2 linked regions of the Drosophila melanogaster genome follow. The protein of the gene in region 1 interacts with the protein of each later gene in a pairwise test. Each region holds a gene or a part of one and is shown on either strand. Other genes may lie near its edges.

Evidence for each region.
Region 2: the proteins of sna (region 1) and CG7135 interact in a two-hybrid assay, tested with the Drosophila melanogaster proteins (one large-scale study listed by BioGRID).

What each region holds. Positions count from the first base shown.
Region 1 is NT_033779.5:15,475,836-15,479,851, forward strand, and holds sna (snail), read right to left. Parts: upstream 2,426-4,016; 5' UTR 2,273-2,425; coding exon 1,100-2,272; 3' UTR 758-1,099; downstream 1-757. UniProt on the Drosophila melanogaster protein: Essential for the correct specification of ventral-dorsal patterns.
Region 2 is NC_004354.4:18,101,845-18,106,201, forward strand, and holds CG7135 (uncharacterized protein), read left to right. Parts: upstream 1-1,808; 5' UTR 1,809-1,836; coding exon 1,837-2,201; intron 2,202-2,265; coding exon 2,266-2,740; intron 2,741-2,899; coding exon 2,900-3,313; 3' UTR 3,314-3,549; downstream 3,550-4,357. Other genes in the region: Taf8 (TBP-associated factor 8), read left to right, coding at 216-363, 424-858, 914-1,042, 1,100-1,374; wupA (wings up A), read right to left, coding at 4,117-4,188.

The sequences.
Region 1 (4,016 bases):
TGCTTCGGTGGTAATCCAATCCAATCAGGACCTGAACTACCGTCTGCCAGTCAATCAGGAAGGACTCGATAAGCAGCCGTCGCTACGTTTATCACCTGCACTCCACGGTCCTCTGGTGTCCTTTGGTATCCTTTAGGGACTCAGGACGCATGCGCCGCCATCAGTTCGGCAAAATGCTGGAAAAGGATTGCAGAAATGTAAACGTGAAGCGATGTCGGTGTCAGCTAATTAAATATTTGCATTGGCAAAAGGTGCAAAACGCCGAGCGATATGGATTGAAATTGATGGAATGCTATTAATGGGGGCGGGTTAGAAGGAAGTCCCCGAAAAGGAAAGTGTATGACAAATCGGTTCCCTGTTTGCACATGCCAAAGGTGTTTTCTCCGAGAATTCGATATTGCTATTGTTGTGATTTCTGTTTTTCGAGAGGGTTGGCGGAAATTGTCACAAAATATGAACAGGGGCAGACCCCAAAATGCGGATGTTTGGTTTCCTGTTAATTATTGTACATTTTGAAGGCACATAGAAACTGTAGAAGGAAAGATTACATTTTTTTAATGCGTTTCGATGAATGCTGTTACTACCTAAAATGTTTTCTATAACTTTTGGTTACAAATTTTTAAATTTTTTTATTCACATCTGTCTGTATTTGAGCCCAAATATTAGTGATAGAATTTAAATTGAATATTTCTATACAGTTTCCTTCTGTGAGAATTTCTTTCAAAATTGTTAAAAATAATAAAGACCATATAAATTTCTTTTCGTGAGTTTTATTTTATAAAAATATTTAATTCTTCTCTTTAAGCTAGGAATAATCTTAACAACAGTTGGCTTAACAGTACTGAGAATACATAAATAAGGGTATATTATAATTAAATGAATAGATTTGGTAAAATGCTGCGTGTGACAATGAGGCAATATACATGAACTTAAACTTAGAATACTATAGCTGAAATAAATATAGTAATAGTAGCACCAAAACCGAATCGACTTAGTACAAACTTATAATAGGTATTGTCTGTTTGTTTGGTCTTCGCCAGCGGAATGTGAGTTTGCTTAGGTAATTGTGTCCTGCTAAGGGATTCATATGTCGAGAATCCTACGCAATAGTGATGGTGCAGTTGGAGCTGGAGTGCTTGTTCAGGAGCGACATCCTGGAGAAAGATTTGTGGCACACCTGGCAGGCGTACTTCTTGACGTCCACGTGGGTCTGCTGATGAGCTCGCAGGTTCGAGCGGTCGGCAAAGGATCGTGGGCAGTCGGGGCACTGGAAAGGCTTCTCTCCAGTGTGGGTGCGGATGTGTCCCTGGAGCAGCCAGGGTCGAGAGAAGGCCTTGCCGCAAATGGGGCACTTGCAGGGCAGAGTGTGGGTGCGGATGTGCATCTTCAGGGCTCCAATGGTGGTGTACAGCTTTCCACACTCCTCGCAGGAGTGGGTCTTCTTCTCCTGATTACACTCGGCTGCCGGGCAGTGGAACTGACGGTGCTTGGACAGGCCCATCGAGGTGGAGTACATCTTCTGGCACTCGTCGCACTTGAAGCGGTAGTTTTTGGCATGATTGGCGGCAACACTCGCCGACGAGGCACTCATGGCCGGAGTGTAGGAGTATCCCGATGAGCTGCTTACACTGGCACCGCTGCTGCTGGACTTGGCCTCATCGAAAAGGTGGAACAGAGCCGGCAGTGGGATGTCATTTCGCACTGAAAGATCCTCTGGCTCGGAACCGGTTTCCAGATCGGATCCGGGGCTGGAGGGCGGCGTCATCTGCTGGTAGCTGTAGACCGACTGGGGCGAGGCCATCGAGCTGGCTGGCGAGGGGAAGGCGGCCAGATGGGGCTGATAGCTGCTCCACAGGGCAGAGATCGGATTGCAACCGGCGGCCATCACAAAGGCGGACTGGAAGGGATTAATCGTGGTGGGGGTGGCGGTGGTATATCCCGTTGTTCCTGCCGTTAGTCCACGCATATGGATTTCGGTGGGCAGGTAATCCTGGGCCTCCACTGGCGGCGACAGCAGGCAGGAGTTGGAGCTAGAGCTGGAGTTCCTTTCCGGTGTTTTTGAAAGGTTCAGCACATAGTCACGTTTCGGTTCCGGCTGCTGATAATCCTGGGTCTCCTCGTCGCGACCCCGTTTCAGGGATAGATCCTGCGGCTGATCCTGGGCAAACTGTGAGTCCTTGGTCAGGGCCAAGGCCTCCGTTTGTGGCAGACGCTCCTCCACGAAGACAATGGGGCGCTTCTTTAGCGGGCAGCTTTTGTAGTTGGCGGCCATTTTTGATGTGTGTGTGATTAAGTTTTAGTTTCCGGTACTGATCGAGATGGGTAAATCGGGAGATCGGCGATCGAGAGGCGAGTTATATAGTTCGGGATCGAGTATAGAGCGGTGGTTGCGTTCTCAACGAGAGCTGAGGTGGCTGTGACAGGTCAACAGTCGAGCACGCTCTTTTATACCCGGAACTCTGCGCCTCTGCCGACGCCGCTGTCGCCATTTGGTGGTGGTTCTTCTTCAAAACAGAAAAACACTCGCACGTGTGCGTCGCTACCTAGCAACAACAACAGCACTTTTCCCATACCCTTATTGCGTATTTCCCTCACTTCCCTCTACCTGCTCTCTCACTCTCTCTCTCTCTCTCTTCCTCCATTTCCCACCTCTCTCTCGGAAGAGCAGACGCAGGCGCACCCTCCCAGGAATAAGGATCCCCCGTATAAGTTATGACAGATCTGGTGGCTCTCCAATTTCCCGATACGCTCACAACCCACCCGTAATAACTCGTGCAGGTCCGGGTCCGAAATGCAAGTTACAATATCGCCTCCCTACCTATGGATCACCCTAAGTAATTTTCTATTTTTAAGCACGAGTCAAATAGGACTCCTAGTACTCTTCGTTCATGGGGTGGTTTCCTCACTTAGATTGAGTGCTTCAAGTACATCTGCCGATGCTCTAAATTCGGTTTTTGGTGGGGAGTTGAACCTGAGCGATACGCACTGACAAAAATGACACCTTCGCAGAGAGGTGTTCCAAAAATAGCACTGATAATGAGCCGAATTCCGAGACACCAAGTGTCAACTCTGGGGTGCACTCTACGCTGACTTATGGATCATCTCCAGTGGCTCATTGGCAGCGATCGATGAGAGCTAGGAAAACATAGCTCAGGGCATAGGAGATGTCATTAAAAACTTGACAAGGAATAGACGAAGAGTGTCAAGTCTCCTGTGAGCTTGGATCGAAGAGATCTCCTGTTCCCACGATTGGTCCGTGAAAGAATGACGATTCGAATACGAGTTACACATTTTAACTAATCCCATGGTCATCTTATTAGTATGTGAAGTTCTGCTGTCTTAAAATCAATTCGATTGATAACGTAAAAAAAATCATACTGCCCCTCAGCATCCAGCTGAGTCCTGGACGATTCCCACAATTCTCGCTTTCCAACTCCCCTGATCTTTGACTCCTTGCCTCATCGCGCACACACAACTTTCCCAGCTAGCACCTCCAGACTTTCAAGCCACCCCTCCAACTATCGATGGGAAACTTTCCCAACTCCCACTCCCGCATGGAGGCTGACATGCAGACTTTGTACCCGGAAAAACAGACAAGCCCGCATAGCCAAGTCCGATTTTCCGCGTCGTCAAAAAAAAAAAACCAGGCGCGGTGGTAAAATTGGAAAAAATCCATAGCAAACCCAAAAGTTTTGATAAACCCAAGAGGTGACAAAAAATTCCAGCGCGGAATTCCAATTCCCCGCGATCCTGCAACCAATGGCGTGAGGGAAGATGGGAAATGTCGAGCCAATAACCCAGCCGCATTTCCATTTCGTATTTCCCTGCAATGGATTTTCCTTCGACGAATGTCCGGATGTGGATCAGCGAAGGATTTAAAGTAATTTCCCATCTTATCCAATTACGCAGTCAGCGAAACTCAAGCAAAACAAGCCACGACGAGTGGAAAAACTGGCTGGGGGTTTTCTATATGTCCTCACATCCTACCTGGTGGGTCATCCCGGATATCTCGGTTA
Region 2 (4,357 bases), on another chromosome or scaffold:
TTAGGATTTATAATGCCAAGCCTTGGTTTAACTAACATAAAATCTTAATGCCAGATGAAATATTGAAATAACCAGTGGAGTTGCACTTGAACTCATAAGGAGCGTTGCGCCGATAGCTGTAGTCGATAGTGCCGAACAGTGCCATCACTAGCCGCTAAAGTGGCAATATTCACTGCGGTTTCTACTTTAGCATAAACAAATTGAATTCTGTCTCCATGGAGAAGGTGGAGGCGGTAACAGTGTCCAATGTTGATCCCTATAGGCGGATCCTAAACAAGGTGGTGTCCCAGCTGCTATTGGACAAGGGGGCCGGCCAAGCGAGCAACCACAGCCTGGAGACGCTCACCCAGATGCTGCAGGCGTGTAAGTTGACATTGTGATTACCATTTTGTACTAGGATAATCATTTAGCACGCCATTCCAGTGATCTGGGAGATCGGCAATTCGGCGCATAACTACTGCGAGCTAAGTGGACGCACGATGCCCACCGTGGGCGATGTCAGTTTGGCCCTGATTAACATGGGCATTTCGATCTCCAATTTGGATCCGTACATGCGCAAGGAGACGCACGTGCCCATTCCACTGCCCCCACAGCAGACGCAGCAGCGCCCGCTGAGTCTGCTGCAAGCGGGCATCAAGGCCCCGCATCCCCACTACGTGCCCAGCTACTTCCCTCCCATGCCCGATCCGCACGCCTACATACGGACGCCCACGCACAAGCAGCCCGTAACAGAGTACGAGGCCATCAGGGAGAAGGCCGCCTGCCAGAAGCGGGACATCGAGAAGGCGCTCACAAAGTTCCTCTGCAAGACCACGGAGACGAACAACCTCTTTCCCACCGAGGACAACATGTTTCCTTGTAAGAGGCACCATAATCATCCAGCGAACAATAATTAATAACCATTTCCTTTCAGTAATTGCCTGCAAACCGGCCTTTCCTCCCTATGCAGCCGCTTTAAATCCCACAGATCAGGTGTTTGACTTCGAGGAGCTGGAGTACCACTATCTGGTGGCCAATCGCACAGAAGATGAGCCCAGCAAAGGTGCGTTTCTTTCAAATAGTCAGATGCCACGAGTGCTAACACTTTCCACCCTTTTAGACGACGGCGAAGAGGGCGATAGCGAAAACGAGGAGATGGATGGCGACAAATCCAAAGAGGAGAAGCCCGAGCTGGATATCAAGCCCAATTCCAACACAAACAAGGCCATTTTGGAGAACCCCAACATCGATAATCCCTATTTGCGGGCGGCTACTCTGCCCAAGCGATCCAAAAATTGCCCCACACCCGGAACCATGCCCAGCAGGAGTCTGGCCACCACGGCGCCAACGATACGAACGCCCTCCACTCTAGAGATAACCAAAACTAACCTTTAAGAGTAGCAGGCGTTTTTAATTATGGTTTGAAAATGTAAACACTCCTGTTTTCTTTAAATTTAAAAAATTAAAAAATTTAAAGTGTAGTTTTAGGTTCAAGGACTAATATATTTTATTTTATACTTACATATTTGGAATCTTTAAGTTTGAACTGAAGACATTGTATAGGGCCAATTTCCTCAAAATGGCATAATATTTCGTGTTATATATTTAAATAATAAAATAAATGGGTACTCCAGCAACGATCTGTGCTGGAAGATCTGCAAATCGGCTATGTTCTTCAATCTGCAAACCGCTAATCCAGCGGCAAATGCACTTCCATCAAGGCAATTGAGGAAGGTCCAGTCGTGCCCTGTCCATTAAGATCAATTAGGCAACAAATGAGGCATCGGCAAGTGCTCTCCGAGATTTTGCATAAAAAGCCGGCTGTTCACCGCCACAATTGCAATTTACGGATACACGATGTCGGACGCACTGGAGGAGCCACCATTGTACCTTACGCCGCAGTTCTTCAGGCGCACCCTGGAGCACGGATTGCAGCAGCTGGACCTGCAGGTCATCGGTGTCCAGCTGACCAATCTGACGCGTGGCGGGGAAAACTACTGCAGCAACATTTACCGAGCTCAGATTAAGTATCGCAATGCCGAGAGCTGCGCAATGGAGACATCCCTGATCGTCAAGTCCATGCCGGACGAGAAGCAGGCCATTCTGGCCCGCCTGCACATTTATAACAAGGAGACGCTTTTCTACATGCACATCAAGCCCAAGCTGGAGGCACTCATGTGGAGGGCGGTGGATAGTTTCAGCGCTTGGACTTTGGCTCCCAAGTGAGTTCTAAGCGGCAGTGTGTCTAGGATCCATGAGGAGTAACTTTCGTTTTTCTATTTGCAGGCACTACTATTCCACGACCCAGCCGGAGCAGACGATCATCCTGGAGGACCTTTGCGCCGCAGGCTATCAGTTGAAGTGCCGCCAGCTGGGTCTGGACTTTGACCACGCCGCTCTGGTGATGGCCAAACTGGCCGAATACCATGCCCTCACCATGGTCATGGCCGAACGGGAGCCAGAAACCATTGTGGACCGCTATCCCTTCGGTCTGCTCCACATGGATGCCATCAATTCGGAGCCCTTCAAGCTGCTCTTCGGCACTCAGCTCCTAAAGCTGGCCGCTCTGGTCGGTGACTGTGAGGGATTCGGTGGGATCACCACAAAGCTCTACCGCTACCACGAGCACTTCACCGAACGAGTCCTGAAGGCGGTGTACCCACTGCGCGGCAACCATAACGTGCTCAATCACGGCGATCTTTGGGTGAACAACATATTCTTCAAGTACGATGCGGAGTACACGGTGCAGCAGGTGAAGATTGTAAGTACCAAAAGGTTGGCCACAAAAATTGAGGCTTCCAGCAATCTCCAATATTAGATTATTTATTTCTTCATAAACCAACTAAGAACTAGCAGCTAGTAGCTAGTGTTTATATCAGAATTGACTGATCCTTTAATGCCCTTTTTACTGCCCCTTCAGATTGACTTCCAGCTGTGCTTCTACGGCAGCCTGGGCTTCGACATCAACTACTTCCTGAACACCAGCTTGGAACTGGAGGTGCTACGTGACCGGCGGCAGGAGCTTGTCGACATCTACTACAGGTCCCTGGTGGACTGCCTGAAGCATCTGCCCTGGTCCAAGGAGCTGCCCAGCTATGAGGATATCATGGATGAAATCAGAAAGCGCGAAGCCTACGGTTTCTTTGTGGCTTTCGGATTCTTCCCGCTGATGAGCATGATCGGTGTGGACTCCGAGGACAACTCACTGAAGAACTTTCACGACGAGACATTCGCCAGGCAGAAGGTGCAGCTCATGTTCGAAGGAAACACTCGCACGCTGGAGAGCCTCAAGTGCACCTTGAAACGTCTGGACGAGTTGAAACTGTTCGACTAGGCGGTATATACATAGTTCGTAAACACATTTTTTTTTTGTCTATTTTCAAATAAATTATAAAGGCCTTGTTGAATTTGTACATGTTGCAAAGCATGTTCCAATCAAACCAAAACCCATTCTATTATAAACAAAAAAGCACGATGTAGATTAGTGTCGTGACTATCAGATACCCCTTAAAAATGCACGATAATACCATTACAATACAATATGCAATAAACTTTTTGGCATACATTTTCAATATCGCTGTCTTTTCATTCAAAACTATACTGTATTTATGATATTCGAGATCGTGAGATTTCGATCCCCTCCTGAAAATCTCAACCATTTTAAAGATTATTTCGCTCAGTGTTTGTGTGCAAAAGATGATTTTGGGCATGGCAAGGTAGAAAGAATGTTCGTTTTTTTTTTTTGTAATTTAATTTAATTTACATTAAAAAATATAATTTGTAAATAATGAAATATAATAAATAATTCATCAAGGCGTTCAGATGTTTGGCTGTTGTTTTGAATCGTTGATCTGAATTATTTATAAGCAGTTGAGTTTGAGTTTGAGTCTGAGTTTGATTTTGATTTTGAGTTAATTTAGTTGTTGCTGTTGTTGTTTATTGACTTCATTTCTGATCAAATCCATTGTGGACACATATATATGGCGAGATATATACATGCATATATATTTGCGGATATATATATATATTAATAGATTCATATAAATTATATTGCTTCAGATAATTGTTGTAAATAATTTCAATTATTGTTTAGGGCGGGAGTCACGGGTCAGTGGACACTAGTGGACGTGTGGACACTTAAGCTTCGGCCTCAACCTCCTCCTTCACCTTGGCATCTCCGGGCTTGCCCTTGGACCAGTCGGGTTTCTTCTGCTCATCCGGACGTGGATATCATGGCGGAATAGAGTAGAGAAGATATCGGTATTAGTAGGCTCATGTACCATCCCAAATGGTCACATACAACATCTGGATGCTCGGTGCCGACACTAAGAACTACATTGTGATCTACATGTACAAGTGACGTGTGCTCCAAAATAAA